Sus scrofa: one gene and its partners. The protein of the gene in region 5 interacts with the protein of the main gene of each other region in a pairwise test. Links are inferred from orthologs where the notes say so. Each region holds a gene or a part of one and is shown on either strand. Other genes may lie near its edges. The genes, in order: NME1, XIAP, KCTD9, GNMT, WDYHV1, LZTFL1 and baculoviral IAP repeat-containing protein 2.

Evidence for each region.
Region 1: the proteins of WDYHV1 (region 5) and NME1 interact in binary tests that used the Homo sapiens proteins (3 or more experiments, as listed by UniProt). The two-hybrid records come from large-scale screens. The link is inferred for Sus scrofa from reciprocal best matches to the Homo sapiens genes NTAQ1 and NME1.
Region 2: the proteins of WDYHV1 (region 5) and XIAP interact in binary tests that used the Homo sapiens proteins (3 or more experiments, as listed by UniProt). The two-hybrid records come from large-scale screens. The link is inferred for Sus scrofa from reciprocal best matches to the Homo sapiens genes NTAQ1 and XIAP.
Region 3: the proteins of WDYHV1 (region 5) and KCTD9 interact in binary tests that used the Homo sapiens proteins (3 or more experiments, as listed by UniProt). The link is inferred for Sus scrofa from reciprocal best matches to the Homo sapiens genes NTAQ1 and KCTD9.
Region 4: the proteins of WDYHV1 (region 5) and GNMT interact in binary tests that used the Homo sapiens proteins (3 or more experiments, as listed by UniProt). The two-hybrid records come from large-scale screens. The link is inferred for Sus scrofa from reciprocal best matches to the Homo sapiens genes NTAQ1 and GNMT.
Region 6: the proteins of WDYHV1 (region 5) and LZTFL1 interact in binary tests that used the Homo sapiens proteins (3 or more experiments, as listed by UniProt). The two-hybrid records come from large-scale screens. The link is inferred for Sus scrofa from reciprocal best matches to the Homo sapiens genes NTAQ1 and LZTFL1.
Region 7: the proteins of WDYHV1 (region 5) and baculoviral IAP repeat-containing protein 2 interact in binary tests that used the Homo sapiens proteins (3 or more experiments, as listed by UniProt). The two-hybrid records come from large-scale screens. The link is inferred for Sus scrofa from reciprocal best matches to the Homo sapiens genes NTAQ1 and BIRC2.

The regions. Positions count from the first base shown.
Region 1 is NC_010454.4:27,415,050-27,419,238, reverse strand, and holds the start of NME1 (nucleoside diphosphate kinase A), read right to left. Parts: upstream 2,803-4,189; 5' UTR 2,710-2,802; intron 1-2,709. UniProt on the Homo sapiens protein: Major role in the synthesis of nucleoside triphosphates other than ATP. The ATP gamma phosphate is transferred to the NDP beta phosphate via a ping-pong mechanism, using a phosphorylated active-site intermediate.
Region 2 is NC_010461.5:101,398,720-101,402,983, forward strand, and holds the start of XIAP (E3 ubiquitin-protein ligase XIAP), read left to right. Parts: upstream 1-1,457; 5' UTR 1,458-1,469; exon of another isoform or gene 1,470-1,681; intron 1,682-4,264.
Region 3 is NC_010456.5:9,514,881-9,518,949, forward strand, and holds the start of KCTD9 (BTB/POZ domain-containing protein KCTD9), read right to left. Parts: upstream 2,807-4,069; 5' UTR 2,583-2,806; coding exon 2,535-2,582; intron 1-2,534. UniProt on the Homo sapiens protein: Substrate-specific adapter of a BCR (BTB-CUL3-RBX1) E3 ubiquitin-protein ligase complex, which mediates the ubiquitination of target proteins, leading to their degradation by the proteasome.
Region 4 is NC_010449.5:38,037,161-38,041,166, reverse strand, and holds the start of GNMT (glycine N-methyltransferase), read right to left. Parts: upstream 2,809-4,006; 5' UTR 2,766-2,808; coding exon 2,560-2,765; intron 1,592-2,559; coding exon 1,464-1,591; intron 1,316-1,463; exon of another isoform or gene 1,024-1,315; coding exon 907-1,023; exon of another isoform or gene 768-906; coding exon 625-767; intron 526-624; coding exon 404-525; intron 326-403; coding exon 154-325; 3' UTR 1-153. UniProt on the Homo sapiens protein: Catalyzes the methylation of glycine by using S-adenosylmethionine (AdoMet) to form N-methylglycine (sarcosine) with the concomitant production of S-adenosylhomocysteine (AdoHcy), a reaction regulated by the binding of 5-methyltetrahydrofolate.
Region 5 is NC_010446.5:15,985,432-15,988,939, forward strand, and holds part of WDYHV1 (protein N-terminal glutamine amidohydrolase), read right to left. Parts: intron 616-3,508; coding exon 467-615; intron 1-466. UniProt on the Homo sapiens protein: Mediates the side-chain deamidation of N-terminal glutamine residues to glutamate, an important step in N-end rule pathway of protein degradation.
Region 6 is NC_010455.5:29,002,443-29,006,452, reverse strand, and holds the start of LZTFL1 (leucine zipper transcription factor-like protein 1), read left to right. Parts: upstream 1-1,207; 5' UTR 1,208-1,213; coding exon 1,214-1,228; intron 1,229-4,010. UniProt on the Homo sapiens protein: Regulates ciliary localization of the BBSome complex. Together with the BBSome complex, controls SMO ciliary trafficking and contributes to the sonic hedgehog (SHH) pathway regulation. May play a role in neurite outgrowth. May have tumor suppressor function.
Region 7 is NC_010451.4:33,040,324-33,044,407, reverse strand, and holds the start of baculoviral IAP repeat-containing protein 2, read right to left. Parts: upstream 2,802-4,084; 5' UTR 2,664-2,801; intron 2,167-2,663; exon of another isoform or gene 1,985-2,166; intron 889-1,984; 5' UTR 773-888; exon of another isoform or gene 1-772. UniProt on the Homo sapiens protein: Multi-functional protein which regulates not only caspases and apoptosis, but also modulates inflammatory signaling and immunity, mitogenic kinase signaling, and cell proliferation, as well as cell invasion and metastasis.

The DNA of each region.
Region 1 (4,189 bases), on a different chromosome or scaffold from region 5:
TGCAGACTCGCCTCAGATCCCGTGTTGCTGTGGCTCTGGCGTAGGCCGGCAGCTACAGCTCCAATTCGACCCCTAACCTGGGAACCTCCATATGCCGCGGGAGCAGCCCTAGAAAAGGGCAAAAAGACAATAAATAAATAAATAAATAAAGTACTAAAAAGTAAAACCACCCTGGCCAGGTGGACTGAAGTACTGTCCCAGACTTTGATACATTTGAATGATGAACCAGTAGAACTTGTGGCCTTTTATGCCAGACGAGAGACCCCTGCCAAGATACCCAATGTCTTGGGAAACAGCTCTCTCTGTGGATCAATGGACTGTGCTGCTGAGAACACTAAGCCCCACCCCTGGGTGAGGGGGAATTACTCAGTTTCCACTGGGAGGCTGCAGCCCTGCCACAAGCTGGCCTGTTGAGATGTGCTATACCTGGAAGGGAACATGCACCTCTGAAGAGGGGAGAAGGAAGGGGTCCTGGTCTGGCATATCCCACGCCTACTCCATCTCCTCATGCCAGACAGGGCTGCCTGCCCTGGCCAACATGTATAGCATACATAACTAGGTCAAGTTCCTAGAGCTGCCAACCTCCCTCTCCTCCAGGCCAGATGGGCACATTCGGTTTCCCACTGGAACAATCATTTAGCCACCATTTTTGTCCCCTCCTTTGGCCTGACGGGCATTATAGCACAGAGAGAAGCCCTTACTAAATTCACCCAGCAAGCCTTAAATACTAGCCTGCAAAACCTGTCTTTATGGAACACTTTATCTTTAATGGCAAAAGCTGTCCTCCAAAGCAGGACATTATTACTGCCTGACAAAGGGATTTAGTAAATCAATGGTTCAGATGATGAGGCTCCTGGAGGAGAAAATTGTTATTATTTAGGGAATCGTCTTAATCCATGCGTCTCTTACACATGCCTCTATAATGCTGCTCTGACATCTGCCTCCACTGCAATCAGATGGCTGCCAAATGAGCCGCCTCCACCCTTTGCTGATCTCTCAGGGCACAATGCATCTGGGGAGTGGGGATGAGATTGTGAGAGCTAGTTGCAAGGGGTGGAGTATTGGAGGAGGTCATGGAGAGAATACGTCCCCAGGCAACTAGAGGCTCCTCACCTCTGTTTTTGAAAGGTACACTCTGCCTACTGTCCCCATAGTAGGGGCTGTTCGAAGGACAAAACATAGCCTTGAGAGAGTAAAGTGTTGTTGAGACCATCTGGACTGAATAGATGACTAAACCCATTTAAAGACTCTATGCATAACTTTTAAAATTCTGGTAGGTGACAGCAGCCACCTCAAGCTCCCTTGGTCATTATAACTGCCACCTATAATCTGGAGTGGTCTGCCTTTCTTCAGTCTCTCCTTGCCTTTGTGTGCAGAAGCCAGTTTTTTGTTTTTGTTTTTATTTTTAGGGCTGTACCCACCCTTCTAGCATACAGAAAGGCTAGAGGTAGAATCAGAGTGCAGCTGCAGGCCTACACCACAGCCACAGCCACACCAGATCCACGCTGCATCTGTGACCTACGCTGCAGCTTGTGGCAATGTGTATCCTTAACCCACTGAGTGAGGCCAGGGATCGAACCTGCATCCTTACAGACACTAGTCGGCTTCTTAAGCCACTGAGCCACAATGGGGACTAACATAAGCATCTACTGGGTACCCAATACTATGGCAGAACTGAGACAAGAAGTATTAAGAGAAAAAGAAAAGAATATCTTTCTGGATTATCCAGATGAGGGAAACTACAGTGATAATATGTGAGTGATGTCTAAAACAAGGCAGTATGAAATACAGTTTGACCTACTACCTCAGCATGCTATAACAGGAAGGAGTTTAGAGATTATTTCATTACAATCTTTTCTTTTACAAATGAGGAAACACATCTGGAGTACCAGAAGGAGGGTCACAATCCAGATTTCCCAACCCTCTGCAGCTTATGCTACATCACAAGATTAATGAATATTCTGACTAACCAATAAATGGTGGATTGTGGGAGAACTGTAGCCATGAGTAATATCTGTTGGAAGAAAGCCTAGAGACCACCTACTTCAGACTCTTCCTTTTACAGATAAGAAGTCTCAACTCAGGACCTGCTCTGCCTCCACAAGATGACAAAGGAGTCCCCTCACCTTGAAAGACAATCCCTATGTGGATAGCAGCACCACCTCCTGGCTCTACCTTCCTATAATTTAGTTGGCCTTTTATTACAACACCTTAACAATATATGTGAATTTTCTGTTTATTTCTCACAGGCCTGCCCCTGAATACAGAGATGATTTACTTCCCTAGTACCTAGTTACAGAGCCTAGTACTCAATAAGAGCAAAGAAAATGTCTTAAATGATAACCGCCCTGCACCTCCAAGAAAAAGAGACAAGGCCCAAGAACTGGCGGAGAACTCCTAATAGAAGCTACAGACAAGCATGAATTCCCTAGGAGAACATGGGGCTAAAGAGCCACAAACAGCAGTCCCTATACGTGTTCCCCACACCCACTCTTGATACATATCTGTCATTCATTCAGTAAGCACTGAGCACTGCACTCGATATAAACAAATAAGGCACAACCCTTACAGTCACGGACTGATGGGAAAAGCAGCCACGGACAAAGCCGAGTCCACGTGGCGCGGGACGTGAGCTGACAGGTTTGCACCTGTCAATGGGTGCGTCCCTCCCACCCGATCCCCCTGGCCACTTCTCCGAGTGGAACTTACCCGACCTCTTCACCTCCCCCTCCCTGGACCCCACTCTTCTCCCTTTTCTCTCAGGACCTCGAACCCTTCTCACCCCTCCGGGCACTTGGGCTTCAACTCCGTCGCCTGTCACCCGCACCGGAAACACGCCCCAGCTCCTCGTGGTTCCTAGCACCCGCTCGCGCGGAACGCTTCTGCGCATAATCGGCTGCAGGAGAGCCCATTTTGCAGAACACCACTCGCCTACGCTTCCTCCCGACAGTCGGATATCGTTCAAGGGAGCAACTTCCTGAAGTTCAACTTCCGGTACGGCTTCTCCCTATTCTTCTCGCACGCTGCAGCCATCTTTTTTTTCCCTTTAAGATCTGTGACTCACTTCCTTCTTTCGCGAGCAAACTGGCTTCCCGAGAGGTGGCGCTCACACTTTGCGTGAAAACTGAACTAGCGCCTGACCTAGAAGTAGTCAGTGTCCTCGTTTTACATTTGCTCATTCTTTCCAGCCTGTCAAGCAAATTATTTATTGAGTACCTTCTATGTGTCAGATATTGTTTCAGAGTCTGGGGTATAGCAGTAAACTTTCTTGGAACTTCTCGTGGGGTTGGGAATAAAGACAAACAATAAACAAATGAGCAAATTAACATGTAATATATCATAGTATGTAAATATTACTGAGAAAAAGCACAGCGAGGGGGTAGGGTAAAGGAGTACTTTAAATGTTGACTGGTGTGCTCTCTCAGGGGGTGACAGTAGAATAGACCTGCTGAAGTCAGATTACCTGAGAGCCAGTGGACATTAAGTGCTAGAAAATGCAACTGGAGAGCAGCAAGATTATGATGTGGTGGGAAGCCATTGGAGAATTTTGAGCAGGGCATGATATCATCTGATACATTTAAAAAAAAAAATCATTGCCTGCTGCAGGAGGAATGGCTGTGGTAAAGTACAGGATAGAATCAGGAGCCTTTTCAAAAAATGTGCTGGAGCACCTATAGGCAGAAAGAAAGTAAGAAGAAAGGAAGGAAGGAAAGAAAAAACCTCCACCTAAACCTCCCACTTTGAAAGAAAATCACTCCAGAGGGATTATAGATTTGTAAGTGTAAAACTATGTGGATAGGAGTTCCCTTGTAGCACAGCAGGTTAAGGATACAGCATTGTCACTGCAGCAGATTGGGTAGCTGCGGTGGCATGGATTTGATCCCGAGCTCAGAGAACTTCCACATGCCCCGGGTGCAACCCAAAAACCCCCAAAACAAAACAGGTGGCGGCTCAGAGAATTACAAACCTAACTAGTATCCATGAGGATATGGGTTCAATCCCTATCCTGGCTCAGTGGGTTAAGGATCCAGCATTGCCGTGAACTGTGGTGTAGGTGACAGACACAGCTCAGATCTGGCTTGGCCTTGGCTGTGGCTGTGACTGTGGTGTAGGCCAGCAGCTGCAGCTCTGATTCAACCACAAGCGTGGGAACTTACATATGCCGAAGGTGTAGCCCTAAAAAGCAAAA
Region 2 (4,264 bases), on a different chromosome or scaffold from region 5:
CTTCATATTCCAATCCTCTTCCCGCTCCCACTGGCTCCCTTTCTTTTTCCTTTCACCTTCCCTCCTTGGACACAGATCATATCCTAATCTCAGTTCCCTTGGTTTTTATTATTATTATTATTTTGCTGTTTTTAGGGCCATACCTGAGGCATATGGCAGTTCCCAGGCTAGGGGTCTAATTGGAGCAGCTGCCAGCCTACACCACAGCCACAGCAACGCCAGACCACAGCCGGGTCTGCGACCTACACCACAGCAATGCTGGTTCCTTAACCTACCGAGTGAGGCCAGGGATCCAACCCGCATCTTCATGGATACTGGTCAGGTTCTTAACTCGCTGAGCCACAATGGGAATTCCTCAGTTCCCTCGTTTATTAGCTGCGTGCTATGGGGCAGTTAGCCCCTCTCTGGGCCTCAATTTTCCCGTTAAAGTGGTGTTACATGAGAGTGCCTACCTTAGAGGGTTGTCAAAATTACAACAAAGAACAGGTCTCATGCCGACCACAGTGATTGGTCTACAGTAAGAACTCAACATGTTCGCTCTCTTTATCTTTTCATTCTTTTAACTCACTTCCCCCACTCCTCCACCCTAGAGCTCATCAGGTAAAAACCGCGGGAAAAAACACCTTGAGGCACAAGAGGAAATGCTTGACCTGGGGGCGGGACTTGAGGTGCCCATTGCGCATGCGCTCGCTCTTTCAGGTCCTAGTATCCAGCTTGTGGGGTGGGGGGAGGGTAATAGGGCCGCGTTCCTCTGGGTCGCCCCCTTCCGGCCGAAAAAAATGGCAGGCCTTCAGCGGCTTCGTGGACGAGCTCAGGGCTAATCGAGGGAGGCCTGGGCAGGAGGGGTAAATTCGAAAATGGCGGAAGGGGAAGGAGGAGGGGCTTTGCTGGGCGGGGGCAGAGGCCAGGAGACTGCGCGGGCGGGCGCCGGGGGCGGATGGGCAGTGCCGTGTGCTGTGTCTCTTTGAGGCCCTGACGTGAACGCACTTTGGATTCCCCGACTCGGGGTTCCTCCCGGGGATAGGCGGGCTGCTACGTGCGAGCTGGGGAGACTAAGAGACTTCCGTTTCCTTCTAGCCGGGGCCTGGCCTCCGGGAGGAGTTGGCATTTCCAGATTGGGGCTTGGGCCGCCCCTCCTCCAGGACCCTCCCCTCAGCACTGCGCGGTGCGCCCCGGGCGATCCAGGCCGGCTCTCAAGGCGCGGTGGGTACTGCCCGAACGGGCTTCCTCCTCCCTCCCCTTTCCTTCTTTTCCCTCCCCTCCCTCCCTCCCCTCCTTCTTCTCCCCTCCCTCTCCTCCTTCCCCTCCCTCCCCTCGGGCCCCGCGCTGCGGGGAAGGGCGGAAAGGCAGCCCCTGCCCGGCGCGGGTGGCCCGCCCGGGACTCAGTGCCCAGGTTCCCTGGACTGCCGAAGAAAGGCGTGGGTGGCATCGGGCCGCCAGGCTGCCTCCTTAAACCCATGACCTCTAAGGTAAATCGAGTCAAAGAACTTTTTTCTCTTAATGATCCAAGGGACACCCCCCCCCCAATCTAATGCCTGCGGCAGGTATGGAGCTGGGTGGGGTGTGTCTGGCGAGAGTGTGTGAAACAGAAAGAATAGGAGCCAAGGACCTTCCGGAAGAGGAAATTAGCTAGTAATTCTTTCCAACCTTTGCTACCCTCGTCACCTCCCCAGCATATTCTGTGAGTAAAACAAAATTCGGTCTAACTTTCAGTTTCATTATTTTAACTCCGTAATACACTTAATTCTTTTCGTTTCGGGAGGAGGGGTTATTGCTGAAACTAAACGACAGCCCACTAACCCTTCAGAAAAAGAAAAACGTCAATCAAAGCTTTGTAAAGACCTATCAGATTTTAATAATCTACTACTTTGTTTTAAAATGTAATTACATCACTATTTATGTCACAAATGTACTACTTTTGTAGTTAATGACACACAGATATTTGCTCTAAGATTGGAGGTTGCTATAGTGTTTGTTTCTTGTCTTTTTTAACTTAACATTTGTTATATCCAGTTCAAGAGAACACTGTTACAGACGGCCATCTTAGAATTATAACATTTTAGAGTTGAAAGGGATCTTAGTTCAACCGCGGTATTTTACAAAAGCAGAAACTAAGGCACAAGAAGATTTCATGGCTTGCCTGAGGCTACTCCATTACTTAGATTAGAACCCAGGTTGTCTGGCTCCTGGCTCACTGCTCTTTCTGCTCAGCTGCTCCACATAGCCTCCAAGCAAGAAAATTAAAACGTATTCGGTGCACATTTTGGAAGTATGTACCACTTTGTGCCATACAACTGTGCTGCCTACTTTCAACGTATTTAACATGTTTATGAAGCCAGTGCTTGAGGTATTTTTCCCCGTCGTTCAAGGAATGGCAAAGATTTAGGTTAAAAAAATGTATACATAGACAGGCCTACTTGTATATGCTCAGATAATTTCTTGAATGGTGCACAAAAAAAAATGTCATCAGTGGTTACTTATGGAGGGTGGAGGGGGTGGGAGGCTTTTTACTTGCACTTCACATGTGACCAAATGTATCGTTTGAATTTTTTACCATAAACAACTATTGATTTTATAACTAAAAACAAGTTTTAAAGTTCACACACACGTGTGTATCAGTATGAACAAGTACCAGTGGTGTGTGTATATATGTTTATATACCTATATGTATTTAGGTATCAGTGGTTTGTACTGTAAAATCCAGATTGGTTCATTTCAGCCCAACTGGCAAAGCAGGCCAGATTATTGGATGCTAACATTTCATCTTTGGTTTTCTTCTATTGATCCTAATGTAAGAAGGTAACAATAATATATGTTATTAGTTTTTATATATTTTTAGGAGATGTGCTAAGCTTTTGATTATTGAATAATGTAGCAAATTATAACATTCAGGGTATCAAATTTGACACAATGAAAAAATTCTGAATGTGGAATCTTTGTGGATAAAACTCAATAAAAAATTTAAGACTGGAAAGGTCCCTGGTAATTAATTGTTCAGCTCTTTTGTTTTTATGAAAGGTTAAGACATAAAGATGAAAAAGGAAGTTGCCCAAGGTTATATATTTGATTATTAACAGAGCTTGGATTAGTGTAGGTCCTAGTCCAGGGCTCCTTGTACTACATCTGCAGTTTTATCACTTTCTAGTGCATTCATCTAGGGGGATGAAGTAATCTGACTAAAGATTAGTCCAGCCCATTTCAGTAGATAAGTATTATTGCAATTAATGTATCAGTTTGTATAATGCTTGAAATATTTTAGTAATGTAAATATTCCCCTTATATTTGGTTGTAAGCCTTCACTTAAGAAGTCTTTTATTTAATTAATAAATGCTGGAGTTCCCATCGTGGCTCAGTGGTTAATGAATCCGACTAGGAACCATGAGGTTGATCCCTGACCTTGCTCAGTGGGTTAAGGATCCAGCGTTGCCTTGAGCTGTGGTATAGGCCAGCAGCTACAGCTCCAATTAGACCCCTAGCCTGGGAACCTCCATATGCCTCAGGTGCAGCCCTAAAAGGACAAAAAGACAAAAAAAAAGTTAATAAATGCTTAGAGACCCCAAATATGAAATAATTTATATTTCACTGTTTTGGGTTTTTTTTTTTTTTTTTTGGTCTGGTAGTTGGTGCTAACAGGGGGAAAAAAATCTATGATTTTTTTTTTAATTTATTGAGCACTTACTATGTATGCCAGGTATTACACTATGTGCTAGAATTCCAAAGATGAGTATGGCAAAATAGATGCCCTTGTTCTTTTGAGGACGGGAGATTATCATGAGCTGTCAGTTCTAAAGCTTTGTCTCTGTGGTCTGATCTGGTAATAGTATTACAGTGTAATCTGTAACACTGTTTAAGGTCATTGTGTGAGCAGATTTGAGGAGATAAAAACAGTAGTGGTAAAATAAGTTGAACTGAACAAAAGCTATTCTTAAGAGGTCATGAGGTTTGGTGGAAAGAGCCCTTGATTGGAAGCCAGGGTTCTTGTGTTGGCTTTGTTTCAGGTAAACTGTGTAATTATGAGCAAATCACTCAACCTCATTGCCTCCATATTTCTTTTTTTCTTTTTCATAACTTTTTAAATATATTCCATTTAATTCAAAACATGAAAAGAGCAATTGGAATATTACATCTTTTTTTTAAGTGGCTGAAGATACTCTTTTATTGAATAGGTAGCATCATAGGTATACAGGTAGATATTAAAGTGTTTAACATTGGTTTTGTTTTCCTAAGTAATTCCCCATTATTTATCATCTTAATATTTTATATT
Region 3 (4,069 bases), on a different chromosome or scaffold from region 5:
AACTCTTTTCACATGTGAATGCATTCCCTTCTCTCAGAAGACTTGGGCCCAGCTGACATAGTGATTACACATCAAAAGCAGGTGTGTCTTTCCAGATTGAAAAAAATCCGGTCTTAGCATTAATTTGCATTTTTAAGTAAAAAATACAGGTAAGGCATATGTTATTTCTTCTTAAACTCTCCTAGAACTTCTTGCACACCCCCTGTGGTGGACCATCTCACCCCAGAAAGCAGTTTTAGAAAATGCACAGCTCGCTCTTCAACATGAAAACATTCACCAGTTACACTTATGTTTACTCAGGATATGGAAAAGTCATGGGAGCATATGATGTAGCCCTCAGGGTGACTTTGTGCCTCCCCAAACCCAGGCTTCACAACCGGCCCGGCAACCACTGAACAAGCTTTAAAGGAGAAAAACTTATTTGGAAAAAAAACCAAAAAAAAAAAAACCACCCAAAAACAGGCATTACTCTTATGCCCAGGAAACAAACACAGAAGCTAGGCAAATAAGGAGATAATGAAAGTGACACAGATATTCCAACTGGTGGATAGGAAATCAAACTCTATCGCTGTAGTGTGTCGTTTCAGCTTCATGAAAATCATGTCACCACCATGCCAATCTTGGCTAAATACAGTTCCTTTATTTATATAAAAAGCAGGCTGTTATGTTTTATTCTGCTTTCTTTTGTCAAATAAGAGTAATTATACTACTACTTTCTTAATCAGCTTAAGGGATCAGAGGAGAAACACTGATAACTTTGGCGCAGAATATGCTTTCCAGTTAAGTAGTAAGGATTATGGTCAGACTTATTTTTAATACCGAATCATACTGGTATTCTCCAGTGGGGTTTGCATGATCTTTGTAACAAATATATTAAATTATTTGAGGATTTTTTTTTTGCCCAGTCTTCCAAGATTCTCAGACAAAATGTTTTTAAAGCAAATAAAATTTAAATCCAAAAAACTAACCTAGTCAAAACTAGAGAGCTTTCCAAAACAAACAAACAAACAAAAAAAAACCTTATTAAAAATATGGCAAGACCAAGCCAGCTGATTTTTGACAAGAACAAAATTCAGTAGCTTCAGAAGAGATTTAGAGAATAGCTAAATATTTAGGACAGGGTCCAAACATCTTGTCTTTCATGGAATAACAGAGGAGAGATGTTGAATAAAAGGGTCAGAGGTCTATTTTTGAGAACAAATTACAAGTGTGACTTTAGAGATATTAAATCTTTCTTCTAGTAACAATACATATTTTAGATTACGAGTGGTAGTTATCAACAGACAAAATAGGTACCGACAAAGTTAATAATGGTCAGAAATAACATGAACCTGTGAAACCTATTTAAGGTAGCATTTATGAAAATGCAGGATCCTGAATTTATGCCAGTTGTTTTCATATGAGTATCAAACCTCTAAGACCAGAAGAACGCAAAACTGTAGCCAACAAACTAGGGTGTGGTTCAGATTTTTAGAGCACATTTACTCAAGCTTGAAGAGTAGTTGAAAAGCCCTTTATTTTTTTTTTCTTCACCTTGGCACAATGACAACATTTAAAAATTTATGTTCCCTAAATATGCAGGAAACAAAGCATTCTCGCAAATAAGACAGTGAGGGCAATCTACCTTCACCTCGGACGCTAAGGCTTAGTTATTTCTAAACGTCATTTAGCCACACCATAAATGTCTGCCTTGAACAGTCAAATTTTCCAAAGAAGCCGAGCAACTTTCATGGGTGGGGCAAGAGGCTGAGAAGGAACAGGATTCATTTTGGCTAGCTCCAGCGCTGCACAAATATTTAGCACCACACCCTCAACAAAGGCCTAACACAGCAAAGAGTAATGTCAAATCAACCCATTTTGGTCTATTGTCCCAGTCCTCTAAGGAAATGAAATTAGGTGGATTAATAAAGCGAGTACAGAAGTTTGGCGGCGGCGGAGCTGGGGTTCCTAAAAGAGGGGCGGGTTGGGGGGACCATCAGGAAAATGTCACTAATTTTCAATCCTTCTATTCGATCTGGGATTTACTTATCCACCGATAAAAAAGAGTTTAATTCTTTTCACCTGATTAATGTCCCATGCCTTAGTTGTTACCACCACTTTCTGGAGCAGACCATTACTCAGCACGAAGGTGGGAACCAGCGTTTTCGGGAGCCAGGGGTGGGGGGCAGCGGGGTATCGGGGGAGATGGGAAGAGGAATAGAAGTCTCCAGCGCTCAGGTGACAGCGGTCCTCTGTTCTCCAGGACCCCCACCTGGACTTAGGAACCATTAAGCACAAGCTGACCTGCGCTGGTCCCCATATCAGCTGGGGCGTCCAAGGGCAGACTCAGGCTAGGGATCCCCGAGGTTGAGAGGAGGCCGCGGGGACCCGACGCACACCTTCTCCAGGACACCCCCCAACCCCGGAGCACGCCCACCTCCCCGCTCCCAGCCCCTCTCCCCAACTTCAGCCCTCTGCCCTGCGAGCCCGCTCCGCACTCTGCTGCCCTCGCCCCCCGCAGACGGGCCCGCCTCGCCTCCTCCCGACCCCCTTACCTTTCCATTCTTGGGGCTGCCGTTAAGGAACAGGGTCACCCGCCTCATCGCGCTGCCCCCACTGGGTCCTGAGTGAGTCGCCACCCTCCCACCTGGCTCTCCTCCCACCTTTTTCTTCTCCCGCCCTTCCCCTCCCGCCACCCACTCGGACTCTCCTCCCTTCGCCACCTTCCTTCCCTTACAGACGCACACACACACAGGCACGCACTCTCCGTCCCACACCCCAAGGTTGGCCGGTCCTCCTTCCCACCCCGCCCCTGGGCTCCTCAGTCAGCCTGGGGCCCTTCCCCCACCTCTCCCAAACTGACTCTAAGCTTCGCCAATCATCCGGCCGCGCCGGCCAGAACTCAGCCAATCGTCGCGCTGCACTGGGCGGGCTCTTACTAACCCAACCCAGGTGGAAGGAGGGAACAGAGACTGCTGTCTAGCCTACGGAGAAGGGTTATCGGCCAATCAGAGCTGAACCAGGAGCCAAGCGGCGGCTCAAAGCGTTACTGAGCAGGCGCAAAGCCAAGACCAGGTAGAGCTCATCTGCATACAGAGGCGGAGGTTGATGGAAGGAGGCGGAGCGCTGAAAGCGAGCCACACCAGTCAGCGCCTTCCTATTGTAACCCCTCCCACTCTGTCAGCGCACACAGGAAACGGCTGCCGTCGAGACTGGCTGATTGGGTAAGAGCAGCCGACTGTTCTGTCAGGATTGGCCCAATGATTCTTTTCGAAGTTTGCAGCATCCAATCGGAAGAGCGGGAACTAAGCTACAAGCCATAACCGAAGGCTTCCTCCGCGAGACTCTCAAGAAAGTAGTCTCCACGGACGGAGGTCAATCGCTGGTTTCCCTGGTCACTGTGTCACTGCAGCTAGCGGTGATGTCCCTCCGAGCTCACGAAGCCACACCTGTTCCTGGGACGGCGAGGTGAAGACCTGGGAGCCTTCGGGGTGAGCGTGCACACGTGCGGATGGCGGCGGCGTAGAGATTCGCAGAGCAACGCCGGGACGACGAGGAGGCGGGGCTGGCGATTTGAATCGGGCGGCGGGCCGCGGCCGGGTGGAGGGGAGGGTTCAGGTTTACGCCGGCTCTGGGGATCCGAGCGTCGGCGGCGGGGGACGAGGTAGCCTCCTCGCTGCTGGTTTGGCGGCCGACAGTTGCTTTCTCGAGCGAACCCTTCAGGACCAAAGAGCCGAAGTCTAGAGCGCACGACACTCATCGGTGGAGCGCTCAAAATAAACCCGACCGGAGGAGAGCGGAGCTGCGGGCGCGAAAGGTAGGCGAGTGGCCTGGGTGGGATTTCAGGGACGGTGCTACCGCAGAGATGTTTTTTTTTGGCATGTTTCTCAGAGGTGTGTTCTTCTGGATCACCCCTTTGCTTTTTAAAGTGCAGATTTCCCGGGCCCAGCCAGATCTTCTGAATTAGAATTTTTGAGAATCTGCAAAGCTGCATTTCTAATAGGGTGCCCAGTTCAATTCTGATGTTCGCTAAGGTTTAAAAGCCTTGCTTTATAGTATGAGATCCGCTTTGTTTCCCACATTTCGCTTT
Region 4 (4,006 bases), on a different chromosome or scaffold from region 5:
AACCCGAATCCCTGCCCCCAGCTGCAGCCCACCCCTTCCCACACCCCCGGATCTGCACTGGGGGTTGGGCTCCGTGTGGGGCTTCTGGTCCCCTCCTCCACAGACGGAGCCTGGCAGCGCCTGGGCAGAGGGCAGTGGGAGCTGAGGCCTCACTCAGTCCGTCTTCCTGAGCACGTGGATGAAATAGCAGGGAATGTAGGCCTGGCCCGGCTTGTAAGGCTTGAAATCTCCTAGGACACTGTGCTGGCACTTGCCCCCGAAGGCTGTTTGTAGCAGCTCCGTAAAGGATGCCAGACAGTGAGGGTAGTAGGAGAGCCGGAACTTACTGCAACAGAGCCCCCGACCAACCATCAGGACTGGTGTGTCAGCGCCCCCTGCCCAAGCCCCTGCCTCGCCAGTGTACCTCAAGCCAGGAGAACCTCTGTGGCCAGTCCCCGGCACCTGCACCGTGTAATCGAGGGTCACCATGTGAGCCTTGTTGTTCACTGTCAGCACAGATGTCGTGATGTCCTTGATCAGGTCACTCTGCAGGTGGGAGTGCCAGCTGTGTTAGCTTCTGCAACTCTGGTGGGGCCCAGAGAGCCCACCTCCCACTCTGGGCCCTCCCTCCCTCAGGGGCCCCACCTTATAGTAGATGTTCTTTCCTGGGGGTGCACAGCCTGTGCTGAGGATGTGGTCGTAGTTTCGATGATCAATGACCAGCAAGCCCCCTGACCGCACCATGCTTGTGATGTTTTTCAGGGCCAGCCGGTGCTCACTCTGGTCCCCTGAACTCCAGGAAGGGTAGAGAGGCTGCGTCTGCTCAGGGCCCGGGCACCAGTCTCCCTCCCATCTTTCTCCTTCCCCCTGCGTCTGGAAAGGGTATGGTTCAAAGCAGGGTCTACGCCCAAGGCCACACCCTCTCACCTCTGCAGTCTGGCAAGTGGGCAAAACTGTTTCCAAGGCAGATGACAGCATCGAAGCCACCCATTGGTGACTTGGGCACATCTTTGTCTAGAGTCATCCAGTTGGCTTCTTCAATGACTGGGGGCCAGGAAAGGGAAGAGGGAACAGGCTGGTACCACAGTACAAGCAGCACCCGTGTCCACCAAGTGCAGTCTTGCCTCTCTTTCCCCTTCTAGATACACACAGGGCCTCCCCAGGGGAGGGGATCCCGAGGGAGGGGATCATCATGGACATGGAGGGTGAAGGAGAAGAGGGGTCAGGGGAATAGGAAGCTGTGGTGGGGAAGGAGGGCCCTGTGCTTATGGGTTTCTTTTGGGGGAGAAGGATAAGATACTATAAAGGTAATTAAAACTAGCATAGTCAATACCTCGTTCTTGTGCCTAAGCCTCCCTTTTTAGGGATTTTACTGTCCCCCTTGAGGAAAACAAAACCCCCCACCACAGGAGCTAAAGGAGCCAGAGCAGAGAGAACAGTGTCCTTGGTGGCTGGGCCGAGGGGACCTGGCTGGAGCTGCCTACCCCACTTGTCGAAAGCAGGCTCATGCCGCCGGTTCCAGCGCTCTTTAAGTGCATACTTGAGCATCTTGTCACTGGCATCCACACTTGTCACACTGAAGCCTTCTTCCACTAGCATGATGGAGTCCACCCTGGGCAGGACCAGAATCCCAACAGGCAGAGAGGGGTGGTCAGGGAAGGCAAGGAGGAGGCCCTGTGCCGGACACTTCTGTCTCCTCAGGTCCTCAGAGTCCATTTTTCTGCCTGTCCCCAGGCTCTCTCCACTGACCTCAGTGACCTGGCATATCTGATTCTCATCATCAGGTAGCACCCTTTTTGTGTTTTAGCACCTATTCCAAGTCAGGCATTCTACAAATGCACATGAATCCTCATTGCAGTCCGGTAAGGTAGATGGTCTTATCCCCATTCGAGAGATGGGGCAAGCTGAGGCTTCTGGATGTTAAGTAACTTGAGCACAGGAGGCAGTGTAACATGGGGGTTTAGAGCACAGGCCAGACCCTAACCCATCTGGGTTTGCATCTCCTCTCCACCTTTATCTCTCTGAGGCCAAATTCCTACAACGGTAAACAGCTATCACTACCCACCTCATGGGGTTTTGTGAGGATTTTAAAACCTCATGTATCAAAAGCACCTGGTACAGTGCTTTGGCAGGGGCACATGTTAAACAAGCGTTAACTGTTAACGCTGCCGGAGGCCATCATACCGGGGAATGACCCTGGAATGACCCTGGAGCCGGGTTCCAAGCCCCAAAGCCTGGGTCCTTGCGCCGCCCCAGCGAGATCGCCTTCTCCACCCACAGTGCCCACACCCTCGCTCTCACCCTGGGTCTCCTCGGCCCCCTCCTGCCGTCGGCCTCGCCCTGCTCCTCGTTCTGCCTGGGTAAACACTCATTCCTGGCCCCTGGCGTCGCGCCCCTGCCTGGCTCTAGGTCGGCAGCGGCGGAGGAGGCTGCCCGACGTGCCCCGCTGTGGTACTGCGGTCGGGCGACCCCGGCCGGAGCAGACCCCGTCCCCCGTCGCCTGTGTCCTCCCGGCTCCTCTTTCCCCCTGGCCCCCGGATGCCTGCTCATCCCAGGTCCCTGGCTTCCGTCCGGGCTCACCCGGTACCACAGGCCACGTCGAGGACTCGCTGGCAGCCGTGCTGTCGCAGCAGTCCGAGCAGCCAAGCCTTGTACTCAGCCGTGCGGCTGCGGGTGTCTCCGATGTACAGCTGCCACACGCGCGCCGCCTCTCCGTCCGCGTACTGGTCCGGGAGCCCTTCAGCCGCCACCCCCAGGGAGCGGGTCCGGTACACGCTGTCCACCATCCTGCGAGGCGCCTGGCTCCGCAGCCACCCGCTCTGCATTTATAATACGCCCCTGCCGGCGGCCCCACCTGCCCAATGGGAGGTGAGAGCGGGGACACGCCCCTGCTGGGCCCTGGGCCCGCAGCCGCGGCTGCCCGGGTAGGCACGCTGGGAGGGCGCTGCCTGGCAATCCTAGACCAGCCCTTCCCGCCTGCCTGAGGATCCTGCCCTGTGGATGATCCCTCGGCGCAAAAGGACCTTCCCAACCCCTGCCCACTTAAGCCAGGTCCCAGGGGAACCTAGGAGGGGTCAGAAGGGGGAGCTGGGGAGTTCCCGTCGTGGCGCAGTGGTTAATGAATCCGACTAGGAACCATGAGGTTGCGGGTTAGGTCCCTGCCCTTGCTCAGTGGGTTGAAGATCCGGCGTTGCCGTGAGCTGTGGTGTAGGTTGCAGACACGGCTTGGATCCCGCGTGGCTGTGGCTCTGGCGTAGGCCTGTGGCTACAGCTCTGATTCGACCCCTAGCCTGGGAACCTCCATAAGCCGCGGGAGCGGCCCAAGAAATAGCAAAAAGACAAAAACAAAAACAAAAACAAAAAACAGAAGCGGGAGCTGGAAAGAAACTTCACAGTCCACAATGAGTGCCCAGGGCAAAACCGTCCCTACTGGGGGGGGAGGTGGGGAGGTAGGGTGGGGGTTATTAGCATATATAAAGAAGGGCTGCCCCGCCCAAAGAGGGCCTGGTCAGCCAGCGAAGGGAGGGATGGGAGTATCTGGGGATGATGCTGGCTTGGCCATCCAAGTCTAGGAGCAGTTCTGGCCCAAGGGGTCATCCCACCCATCTGGGGGCAGGTGCTCCTCTGTCCTGTAGCTGATGCATCAAGCTTTTCCCTGAGCCACTTGAGATGGAGTCTGATTCCAGTTCCTCTCTAACCAAGCACCCCACTAATGGCTGCTTTCCACAGAGGTGCCCACAGACTGGGCAGTCCAGAGTGAGGGGTGGAAGTGCTTGCTCTTGCTCTTATATCGCTCATTATCACCTCATAAATTGGTCATTTGGTTTGGTTAGTGTCAGCCACCCTCCTCCCCAAAACAGGTCTCTTCCTGGACAAGACCCTGGACTGAGATTCAGGAAGGTGGTGCCACCCAGGGAAGCCCAAGACAGCAAGAACAGCCTTCCTCACCTATCTTTTGGCTTCAGAAAGTGCCGAGGTATGGAATTTAGAACAAAGGAACCTCCCATCCGCTGCCCCTTTTACCATC
Region 5 (3,508 bases):
AACCCAAACTTCAAAGGCATGGAAATATATCTAGCTGCCTTTACTTTCCCAACTGTGTATCAGGGGCAAAGGGTAGTTTTCAGAGACTGCCATCACAGCGCTCTCCACGGTGGCATCATAAGGCATCCTACTCACCCACCCCACACCATCCCACCACACTCCCCCCAAAAATAAGAAAAGGACAGAGAGCCCCACAACAACTTTCAGAAAAATGTTTTGGATCTCATCACACAAATTTTTAAAAGACTGCCAACCTTTTACACAACGGACAACATTTAAAACTTTAAAACATTTTGAATCTTCTATATAGCACATCATTCTCAAACCTCGACTAAATGGTGAAGCCCAGACAACTGATGTTTATAAAACCAATGCAAAAACAAACACACAAACAAAACAACTGAATATTAATTATTATCAAGGTCCGATTGCAGAAAGTTGATAAATCCACCTTGAATCTCCTCACCTTCTAAACTGCGGATGAATGTCCTCATCAGACTTAAAGGCATCTTCCACATACGTATCAAAGGGGCAGGGAAATGGCAGGACAGTGTCAAGGTCATAAATGAAGCTCTGTCCTCCACTCGACACATGAAGCAAGACAACATGGTAATCCTAGAAGTAAAAGTTGCTGAAATTAACCAGATTACCCTACGATCGTGTATTCCAAGGGTATACCAGTACTGCATACATATCATCAAAAATGGACAAGACAAATACAGCCCTCCTTATAACAGCAAATAAAGCAAACACAAAACCCTGAAAACAGGCCAAAAGTCCAGTGACGGGGAACAGGTAAGCAACCGGTGGAAATGTTGATGTACATTAAATGTACACCCTTGGCCTAGCAACTTTACCCTGAGGAATCCATCCTACAGAAAATCGGCCGTGTGTATGGAGAGGTATATATGCAAAGAAAATCTCTGCAGCATTGCTTATAACTGAAAATTCAGAAGCAACCAGAAGTCCACCGAGAGGAATGGTTCACAAACTACGGTGCAGCCATAAGATGGAGTCCCAGGGGGCTACTTAAAGGAGTCAGGTAAATGCGGAGTTCTCCAATGGCTCAGCAGGTTAGGGATCTAGCACGTCACTGCTGTGGCTCAGGTGCGATTCCTGGCCCGGGAACTTCTACACACTGCAGGCACAGCCAAAAAATAAAAAAATAGGTAAATTTATGTGAAAGTGGATTAAGTCCATGTTATACGGTTCGATGGTGGAAGCAAACTGCTGATTATTGTATTTTTCAAATGTATGTGTATACAGAGACAGACATGAGCATTCAGAAGTACACATGCACGAGTGTGAGTACAGAGAAAAAAGCCTACAAGGATATCCTCCAACCACCAACAAAGGGGACGGCTTATGGTGAGCCTGGAGAGGGGAAGAAAGACTTTAAAATGTTGTCACTATGGAAAACAGTATGGAGATTCCTCAAAAAACTAAATATAGAACTACCATATGATCCAACAATCCCACTCCTGGGTAACTATCCAGACAAAACATTCACTCAGGAATTCCCATTGTGGCGCAGCAGAAACAAATCCGACTAGGAACTAAGAGGTTGTGGGTTTGAACCCTCGCTCAGTGGGTTAAGGATCCAGCGTTGCCGTGAGCTGTGGTGTAGGTCACAGACGCACAGCTTGGATCTTTCATTAATTTGGCTGCGGTGTAGGCCAGCAGCTATAGCTCCGATTCAAACCCTAGCCTTGGAACCTCCATGTGCCACCAGCGGAGCCCTAAAAAAGCAAAAAAAAAAAAAAAAAAAAAGATAATTGCACCCCTATGTTCAGCACTATTGACAATAACCAAGACACAGGAACAACCTAAATATTCATCAACAGACAAATGAATTAAGAAGATGTGGTACATATACACAACGGAATACTACTCAGCCATTAAAAAAAAAACAAAATAATGCCATTTGCAGTAACATGGATTCAACTAAAGATTCTAAGTGAAATCAGAAAGAGAAAAAACAACCACATAGTATCACTTAAATGTGAAATCTAAAATATGGCACAGATGAACCCATCTACAGAACAGAAACAGACTCACAGACATGGAGAACAAACTTATGGTTGCCAAGGGGCAGGGGGGAGGGAATGGGATGGACTGGGAGTTTTGGGCTAGTAGATGCGAACTATGACACTGAGAATGGATAAGCAATGAGGTCCTACTGCACAGCTCAGGGCACTACACCCAACCTCTTGTGACAGAACATGATGGAAGATAATATTAGAAAAAGAATGTATATATATGTATGCCTGGGTCACTCTGCTGTACAGCAGAAATTGCACAACACTGTAAATCAACTACACTTTAATTAAAAAAAGAAAAAGAAAAATATCAACGGGTGTTTCACAAAGGAAATGCAAATAAACTAGAAGACTATGTACAGAAGCTCAATTCCATTTATATCAGAGAGAACTTTAAATCCATAATAAAACACAATTTTATATTTAGCAATTTGATAATAATTAAAATTAAATCAAAATCTATCTATACCAAGTATATGAGAGGGAGACAACAGAAGATTCCCTCCTACCACTAGTGGGAGTATAACTGGTATATTCATGCAGACTTTTATTTTGGGGCATTTCTAATAAAGATGAACATGCAAAAACAAAAAATAAAAATAAAATGTTGTTGCGATTGTTTTTAAACCAGCCAGGCCCTAGTCTGTAGTCATTACAGAAGAAAGACACAGAGCTTCTCCCGCACAGCTGGGTCCCAGTGCACGTGTGACTTCTCACTCTCGATGCCAGATGCCCAGTGCAGCCCACACCAGCTAAGGGCTGGGAGGCATGTCAGGGTGGTTATCAAGGGACATGCAATAGTCCGGTGCTCAGAGCTCCTTAGGGAAAAAAATCTCTCATAGAGAACAGTACTGTGAGATAAAAAGTTCAATCACATTAATACAACATCAGAAATACCATCTTACATTTCCAGTGCTTCGGAGCTCACAAAGCACTTTCTCAAACATTTCATTTGACCCTGTGAGGTGGGGCAGATAATTAATTGAGACTGGAGATGTTGTACCATCAGAGCCTAAAGTGCTTCCTTTGGCTCCAACTCTATCTTAGTAAAGCAGATCCAGCATCAGAAATGAACGCTTATTCCCTGTACTGCCCCTTAATGCATCCTACCCTCCAGATAAATGAACTAAAAGCTGCTCCCCCATAACAGTCCACAGATTCCTTCCCCTAGGCTTATTTGTGTTACTCCACTCCTCCTGCACGACCTCCTCCACTGCCCCTCTCCGTACCCATCACTCAAGCTCTGTCTGCTTTCTTCCTCATGAGCCCATCTGTGATCTTCTCCCGCCCCTGCCGGAGTCTCTGCCTTTCCAAAACCTGTCTCTCCCTTAACATCTTCTACTTTGTGTTGGTTTTTTTTGAACTATGTACTCCCTATTATTTATGACAAAGTGTGCTATTAAAGTACAGATATAGGAGTTCCTGCTGTGGCTCAGCAGTAACGAACCTGACTAGTATCCATGAGGATG
Region 6 (4,010 bases), on a different chromosome or scaffold from region 5:
GACTACTATTGCCCAGTTTGATTCTGTCATTTTATTATATGTTATGGATATATTTTCATATCAGTGAACATGGATTCTTCCTGGTTCTTTTTTGAAGCTGCAAAAAAAATTCCACTTTATTGCAGCATAACTTTTTCAGTCATTCCCCTAAAAGTGACATATTTAAATCATCTCAAGATTTTTACCACATCAAAGCTGCAGTAAACATCTCTGTATGTACATCTTTGCACTTTTGTTTTTTCTTAAGTCGATTCTTAGAAGTGAAGACAAATCACTGGGTCAAAGGGCGTGTGCATTTTCAGTTTTGATTTCCAGTGTGTCCTCTGAAAAAAGAAGACCTATTACATCTTTATCCTCCTACCAACATTTTCAGGCATGTCTTTTTTCCTTATGCCCTAGGAAATACCAATTGTCAATAATTTTAATAGTTCCTCACTTACTGATGAAGAAAAATTTGAGCAGAAATGCAGGGACATGGAGGGAGCTTACCCTTGTAGATGAGCAGAAGGGAGTCATCTGGGGGTTGGAAGAGGAGGGAGGAGGAGCTGCTTAAGGACCAGGAAACTTTAGGGGACAGCCATTTGGGTTATGTGGAACAACAGCTCACCTAGAATGCCTAAGCAGCTGTAAAGGCCTGAGGAAATTGAAAAAAAAGTTTGAAAAAAACTTTTATAAAGTAAATTCAGTTAGTTTTGTGAATTCTTTGGTTTGCGAGCAAGAACAACAACAATAAAAAATGGCTGGCTGGATGGATTTAAGGTTGGTCAAAGTTAGTGTTGTAACGGAGGCAACTGGTGAGAAATAGAAACATTTCCTCGTGGAGTGATGACCTGGAGGTCTAGCCTTGGACTAGGAAAAGTGAGTCAAGAAGAAGGGACGCTAGAGCAGGAGAAAATAGGAGGTCCACAAGCTCACAGTTACGTCACAGTCAGGTCAGAGGCAGGGTTTGAGGAAAGTGAAGGAGCTGGAGCAGCTCAGATGGTTGGTGATGATCAGAGAGGGTCACTTCTCATTTCAGGATGTCAGCAGAGCAACAAAGCAGCTGTGGGCTGTGATGAGGTATGGGGAGCGGGGTAGGTGCTAAGGTGAAATAGAGCTCAGGGTTGCAGATAGCAGCAGGCAGAGCCAGGACAAAGGAGCGCTGGCCAGGTCCTCCTCTGGGATGGCGAGAGAGCTTGGAGCAGATGTGACAGGCCTCGAGGTGCTTGAATGCATGAAGGATCCAGAGGTTGGTGGAAGATGGTTGATGGAGGACAGGTGGCAGTGGGTAACCAGAAACAAAACCTGCTGAGGGAGGGTCAGCAGGTGACTGTGAAGGGGGCATGGCTTACCAGTCCCTCCATGGGTGTATGTGTTGAGGGGAGCAGTGGTGGGAAGAAGGAAGTATTTATCTCCTGGGGTTGCTTTGAGGATTAAACTAACTATTGCATTTTCAATGTGAAGCATTTGTTACTGAAACACAGTTAAATGTGCAAAAAATGAGAGTTATGCTGACTCAAGTCATAAAGGGTTTAAAAATATATATCCATTTTAAAGAAGTAACTCTTCATCTTCACAATGTTGTAAATTCTAAGGGAAAAGTTCGTTGGGCACATGGGCAGTCTCTCAACACACAGACAGAACCTTCTTGGGTGGATACAAGCAGAGATCCTAGAAAAAAATTAACTCTGGTTTTTATGGTTTCTCTCACATAAAATAAAATATAGAAATTCACACTTTCTGTTAAGGTGCAAAACTGTTTCTGTCTGATACACGCAGCTGTTAATGTTTGCCTTCTGACTTCCACTGTTTTTAATAAGACCAAGTTGTATCAGATAAGAACAATTAGGGGCCATTTATCTCCACTTCTATTCACAAAAGTTACCATTCTGTGAGTGTTAGATGTTCAGAGTTGCCCTCCACAGGTTTAGTTGAGGATGAATTCTTTTTTTTTTTTTTTTTTTTTGTCATGCCCAGGCCAGGAATCGAACCTGAGCCACAGCAGTGATAACACCAAATCCTCAACCAGGATTTGCCCTCTAGACCACCAGGAAACTCCTAGGATGATTTAATAAACCTGTCCTCACCACCCTTTTCCTCTGCTGTACCTGATGGTGCTGGGGGAGCTTTGCACTGACTGAGTTCAGATAAAGACACTCTGGTCCTGGAAAGACACCCTTAGGTTAACACCAATACCTTTGGTGGGTGTCTTAGCCTCAATGGTAGCAGTAAGCCAGATATATAACCTTTTTTTTTAAGCATTTTTAAAATCTTTTAAGTTGATGTATTTATACACAAATGCATGCATCCCTATAAAAGCATTTAACTTTTCAAACTCTTTATTGAAGTTATATATGTAAGAGCATATATATGTATATATGCTCATTAATTTTCACAAAATAAAAATAGAGAACTTGTACCCAGATCATGAAACAATATTACCATCATATTAGACCTCAGAAGTCCCACTTTACTCCTTTTTAGACAATAACAGATACAGAGATATAACTTATCTTTATATTCCTTTGGTTTTTAGTGTGATGGGTTATTTTATTTTCCCAGTAAAGGTAGTTTGTTTTTCTACTCATGACTTACTCAGCAATCTTTTTGGCAAAGCAGTGACACTTTTGGCAACATTATTTAAGCTTTGCTAGGAATTCACATATTAGACTGTTATGGGTTTGTTATGTTCCCTCTGCCCACTCTGCCTTGCTTTGCTAGGCTAACTCTTGCCAGTCCCTAAAGATTCAGATCAGGGATCTTCTTCAGTGGTTTCCTTGAAGTCCTATACTGAACTGAGTGCCACTTATCTAGTTTCCCAGAAAGTGCCCACATCATGTGAATGTGGCCTTCTAAATGGGTCTCTCTCCCCTGCTACACAACTAGGGGCCTTTAGAGCAGGGACCTCATTTCAATCCTCTTTGCTTTCCCAACATCTAGTAGGCAATTAATACATAAGGCCATAAAATATGTGAGATCGGAAGTAAATATTTCCATTGTTATATATAATATATACTAAAATATAATATGCTGTAAGCCCAAGATATGAAAAGAAAACCGCAAAATCTAAATTAATAATAGTTTTATGGAATATCTTCAAAATGTACCATTAAGTCAACTGATCAACTAGAATGCAATTTGTATTTATATAAAAATGTAAGGTTTAAATTACAAAAAGTAAATAATTCATTCTCAAAGACTTATAAAAGTTACATAAACCATCACAGAATTACACTTAATATGAGAAATAGGGATAGCTGAATGTTCAATAACATACGATACACTTTCCAAGAGAAGGCATGCCCAGAGCCAAAAAAAATCCACCACTACCCACAGTATCTGGAACCCGTTAGGAACTCACAAATGTTCGTGCAGATGTTCCTATTTAACTTCAGTTCAATTCTGCAAACATTGCTCAGAGCTTATTATAGCACAGTCCTTGCGGGGGAGCTCAGGTTGATCACAGAGTAAAGATTCTATCCTTCAAGGAGCTTGAAACGCAGAGCAGGAAAGACAAGTATAAACCGACCAAGAATGATATTTCCTTTTGCATTCCTTCTATTTACGCATTCCACTGAGAAAACTTCCATCCATGAACACAGCTTGTACTGAACCATTCAGGCTTTCCAAAGGGACAAGATAGCCTCCACCTTTGTAGGCAAAATTTCCTGAGAAAATTTAGGTCTGTTTCCCATTTTCTAAGATGAGATGCATTTGGTGAACACCTTTACATTGACAGTTATCCAGGTAAACATTTAACAGAGAGCACAGATCTAGGAAGGCCCACCTTCCTGAATAAAACACTAGAATATTTACTCCATCGTTGTATATCTCTTTTTGCAATTTGACCCTTGAAATAATGACAAATCTTAAAGTACATCTCTGGAAATTCTACTGCCTCATGGGATGAAAATTCTGGTTCCTTGCTCAGGACAACCTTCTCCTCCTCAGTTATCACATCCACCCACAACTCTTCCACCCATTTTTAAAGCCCAGCCCAAATTCCAGTGTCTTCTGGAAGACTCTCCTGA
Region 7 (4,084 bases), on a different chromosome or scaffold from region 5:
TAAACAAGCATAGAATACCTAAATTATGCCTTTAATTTGCCTTTGGTTATAAGTTACAAAGCCTGGTTATAAAGCCAATTAATTATTATTCTACAAGAGGAAAAAAACTAAATGCAGGCTTCTTTCCCTACCAGCACTTTAGTATGATACTTTAAAAAATCTTTTATTCTAGTAAAAAAGAATTAAAGTCTCCATATGGTCGCATTATCTAAAAGCTAATTTCACAGTTTACCAACGCAGTATTTACTTAAGAAGGTTAAATTAGCTTCAGCTAACAACTTTCGGGGATGTCAATACCTACTAGCTTTCTTGAAGCCTGTGTGATGTCAAAGGAAATGAATTCTGCTTCCTTCAAAAACTGATAACTCTTCCATCTTTGTTAAATATTGTCTATATTTGTTTCCATTACCTGCAGCATCATTATGTTGTTTTTCTTCCTAACTTTGCAAACAGTTTATTACACTTGATCAATTGAGGGTATTTTCTCCATAAATTTAACTAGTTAACCATAAAATTTTCACAGGAGAAACTTTCTTAAAAAATTAACTTTTTTTGTTTAAGAATCATGCATGTATATTACTCATTTTGTAATTAAAGGTAAATATTTATCAAGATACAGTTTGTCCTTTCTAGTGTTAACACATAAGCCTAAGAAGATACTGCATTATCAACAGAATCACTATTCATGCGTAATGTACCAATAATTAACCCTACTAGCCTTCTTTCTGAAAACCCTTCATAAATTAAAAATATAATTCATACACAAAATTACATTGCACAGAATGCAAACTATATCCCTTCATAAAGTTTCTGAGTCTCCACAACTGGATTTATTACTTCAATGGGAAAAAATGAGAGGGCAAAAGTAGACTCTTCAGGACTGTAAATCTGAAAAGAAAAAACAAAAGCTATTTTAGAAAACCATATTCTCACAGTAAATACAGTTTATAATTTTCTCAATTTATTCAGTAAATTCTAAAAGTGACTTATACTTTAAATAATGCATCTTTTTTTTTTTTTTTTTTTTTTTTGTCTTTTGTCGTTGTTGCTATTTCTGGGCCGCTCCCGCAGCATATGGAGGTTCCCAGGCTAGGGGTTGAATCGGAGCTGTAGCCACCAGCCTACGCCAGAGCCACAGCAACGCAGGATCCGAGCCGCGTCTGCAACCTACACCACAGCTCACGGCAACGCCGGATCGTTAACCCACTGAGCAAGGGCAGGGACGAACCCGCAACCTCATGGTTCCTAGTCGGATTCGTTAACCACTGCGCCACGACGGGAACTCCTAAATAATACATCTTAATTCCAGCAATTTGTCACCAAAATTAATTGCAAAGCCTTTTAAAATAAATGCAGTATACTCCCCTTAGCAATAAGTACACATTTTTTTTTTTTTATGTACTACTTTGAAGACAGATGGACATAGTAAAATACTTCGCCCCTGGTCTCCTCCCCTATTCTTCTTCTTGTGTGTGTGTGTGTGTGTGTGTGTGTGTGTGTGTGTGTGCGCGCGCTTTTTAGGGCCACCCGGGGCATAAGGAGGTTCCCAGACTAGGGGTCCAATCAGAGCTATAGTTGCCGGCCTACACCACAGCCACAGCAACATCAGATCCGAGCCGCGTCTGAGACCTCCTTAACCCACTGAGCAAGGCCAGGGATCGAACCCACAACCTCATGGTTCCTAGTTGGATTCGTTTCCACTGCACCACAACGGGAACTCCTCCTCCCCTCTTCTGGTGACAACTTATAATTTAGTTTAAGGATAATTATCTATGGCAATTTGCTAGCGGTAAAAAGGGAGGGTGAAAAATAGACTGCACCCATCATCAACAGTACAGCAGTTATCCAGACAATAACGTTATTTCTTAATGTCAAGTCTCTCCAGAACTAGGCAAAAAAACTACTAAGAGTTAAAATTCACCAGGAACTCGTGAATACAATGCCTTCACAATTCCAAAGCAACAATTCGCAGAAAGCAACTCACAAAACAAAACACAGCACAATGGCCTATGAAACACTGGCCTTGGGAATGTGACCGCTTGAATGAATGCCTCCGTTACACAAGGACTTGAGGTCCTATCTTTGCATATTTTTAATCTGCAGGAACTGTACAGGATTTGCCCTCTTTAGGCAAACTGTGGCTGGGGGGAAGGGGAAGGAGACAGACTGCAAGGAAAAAGAAGAGAAATTATGGAATTTTATTAATTTCCCCGAGTTATTTCTCGCAATATACAATAGAATACTAAAGTGGCAAAGCGGGGTTGTACCTATCTGAAACAAGAGATCTCGCCGATACGTTACTGTCTCCGTTTGAATATATTAAATAAAGGAATACCGAGGGTTAAGTTTAAAACCCTGCAAAAACTCTTAAAACATCTTGGCCAAAGGCCAAGGGCCAGAAAAGTGAGAAGCGGCCAGAGTAGACTTGTAAACAGGTCAATTAAAAAAATTATTTTCGACAGCATGTCTTGGAACTGGAGCTTCCGAATTAAACAAAAGCATCTTCGACAGTAGAGTAGCAAAGAGCTAACTGCTACCTGCGACCCCCGACTCCCGGCCCTGTCCTCCCCAGCCCAACTGCAGTCTCGGGGAAGGCAGGCCCCGCGGCCTGCGCGCCCCGACCCAGCCCCGCGAGGCCTGGGTCCGGAAGGACCTGCACTCACCACAGGGCAGACGCGTCCAACACGAAACAGCAGTGCCACCAGGAGCCTCCACAGTCCCGGGAGCAACGACGCGGGCTGAACTGCCGGCTGGGCTGCGCAGTTAGAGCTCCTGGGGCCCCCCCCGCCCGCTCAGGGCCCACGCAGACGCACGATGACGTCAGCGCGCCGACCGGGTGCGCGTCACTCCCTCTGCGAGGGCGCCCCGGAGTCTGTGGGCGGAGAGCGGGACCCAGCGCGCGGTCAGCCCTCAGGGGAAGGCAGGGCTGGGCGTGAGCTTGGTGTGCTAATCTTCAATCTCGCTGCGAGAGCACTTTCCCTCGCTGTCCCTCTCATCCTCCTGAGCGGGACGTGGCGAGAGCCGTCGAGTTTGAATCTTTGGAAGCCCTGGGGAAACGCCCGGGCGCGGGTGGCGAACCTCTCCCCACGTCGACTCGCCGGGATTAGTTCCCGGCCGGATTCCTCCAATGGGACCCTCCCCTCGGCGTGGATGACGGCGTTTGAGGGTGGAGTCAGCCCGGAGGCGTTTCGGCTGCAACTAAGTAAACAGCTGTAACCATTTCCCCTTTGCAGCTGCCTGGCGTCAACCTTCCACAGCTGGCCCTGGGGATGGGAAAAAAGCCAAGTGTTGGAAAGCAGAACAGCCTCAGATTAATTTTGAAGCCTTGATTCTATAATGTTGGGGGGCATATCTATTATATAATCACTATCTTTTCTGTTTTTCTCTTCTGGAGACGAATGCATTAACGAAAAGTGTCCTATTTTCATCACTAGCAAAGTGAACACGGTGTTTCAGGCCAGGCTTCACTCCCCCTTTTTTCTGAATGTGGCTAGAACGGAATATATACATTTATGTAGATGTGTGTATATGTAAATCGTACACGAACCATAAAGGAGCCCATTTGTCCATCACATTTTAAAAGTTAACTGTCAGAAAAAAATTGTAAATACAAAATACTACCTTTACTAGTCAGGGACGTTTTCCAGCCCCCTCTTTAGCAATGGGGTGAAGACAGACAGTTGCATGCAGTATTAGTTGAATGGCGGCAGGAGAATTTTTTAATTTATGTTCTGTGAAGACACTCATTGTCAATGATATCGGATGCTTTCTTCTCTCAGGGGAACTCCAGGGGGCAAATATTTCAAAAAAAACTTCCAAATAACAAGCCACTTAATTAGGCAGCCAGGGGAATTCCGAGACCCTGAACCATTTCCCATTTCCTCCCCGTCATTTCTGCCTGCCAGTCAGTAACAGAACAGGAGGGCTTCTGTTCCAATGTTAATAGTAAAAGTATTTGTAACAGCTTGTGATACAGAGAAAAGAAATGCATGCTTGATTCCCAATGACTAAAAACTTCTTCCAAATATGCACATGAGTTTTGATAGTATTTCAGTGTTTAGTTCAAGTTACAATCTCTTGGGAA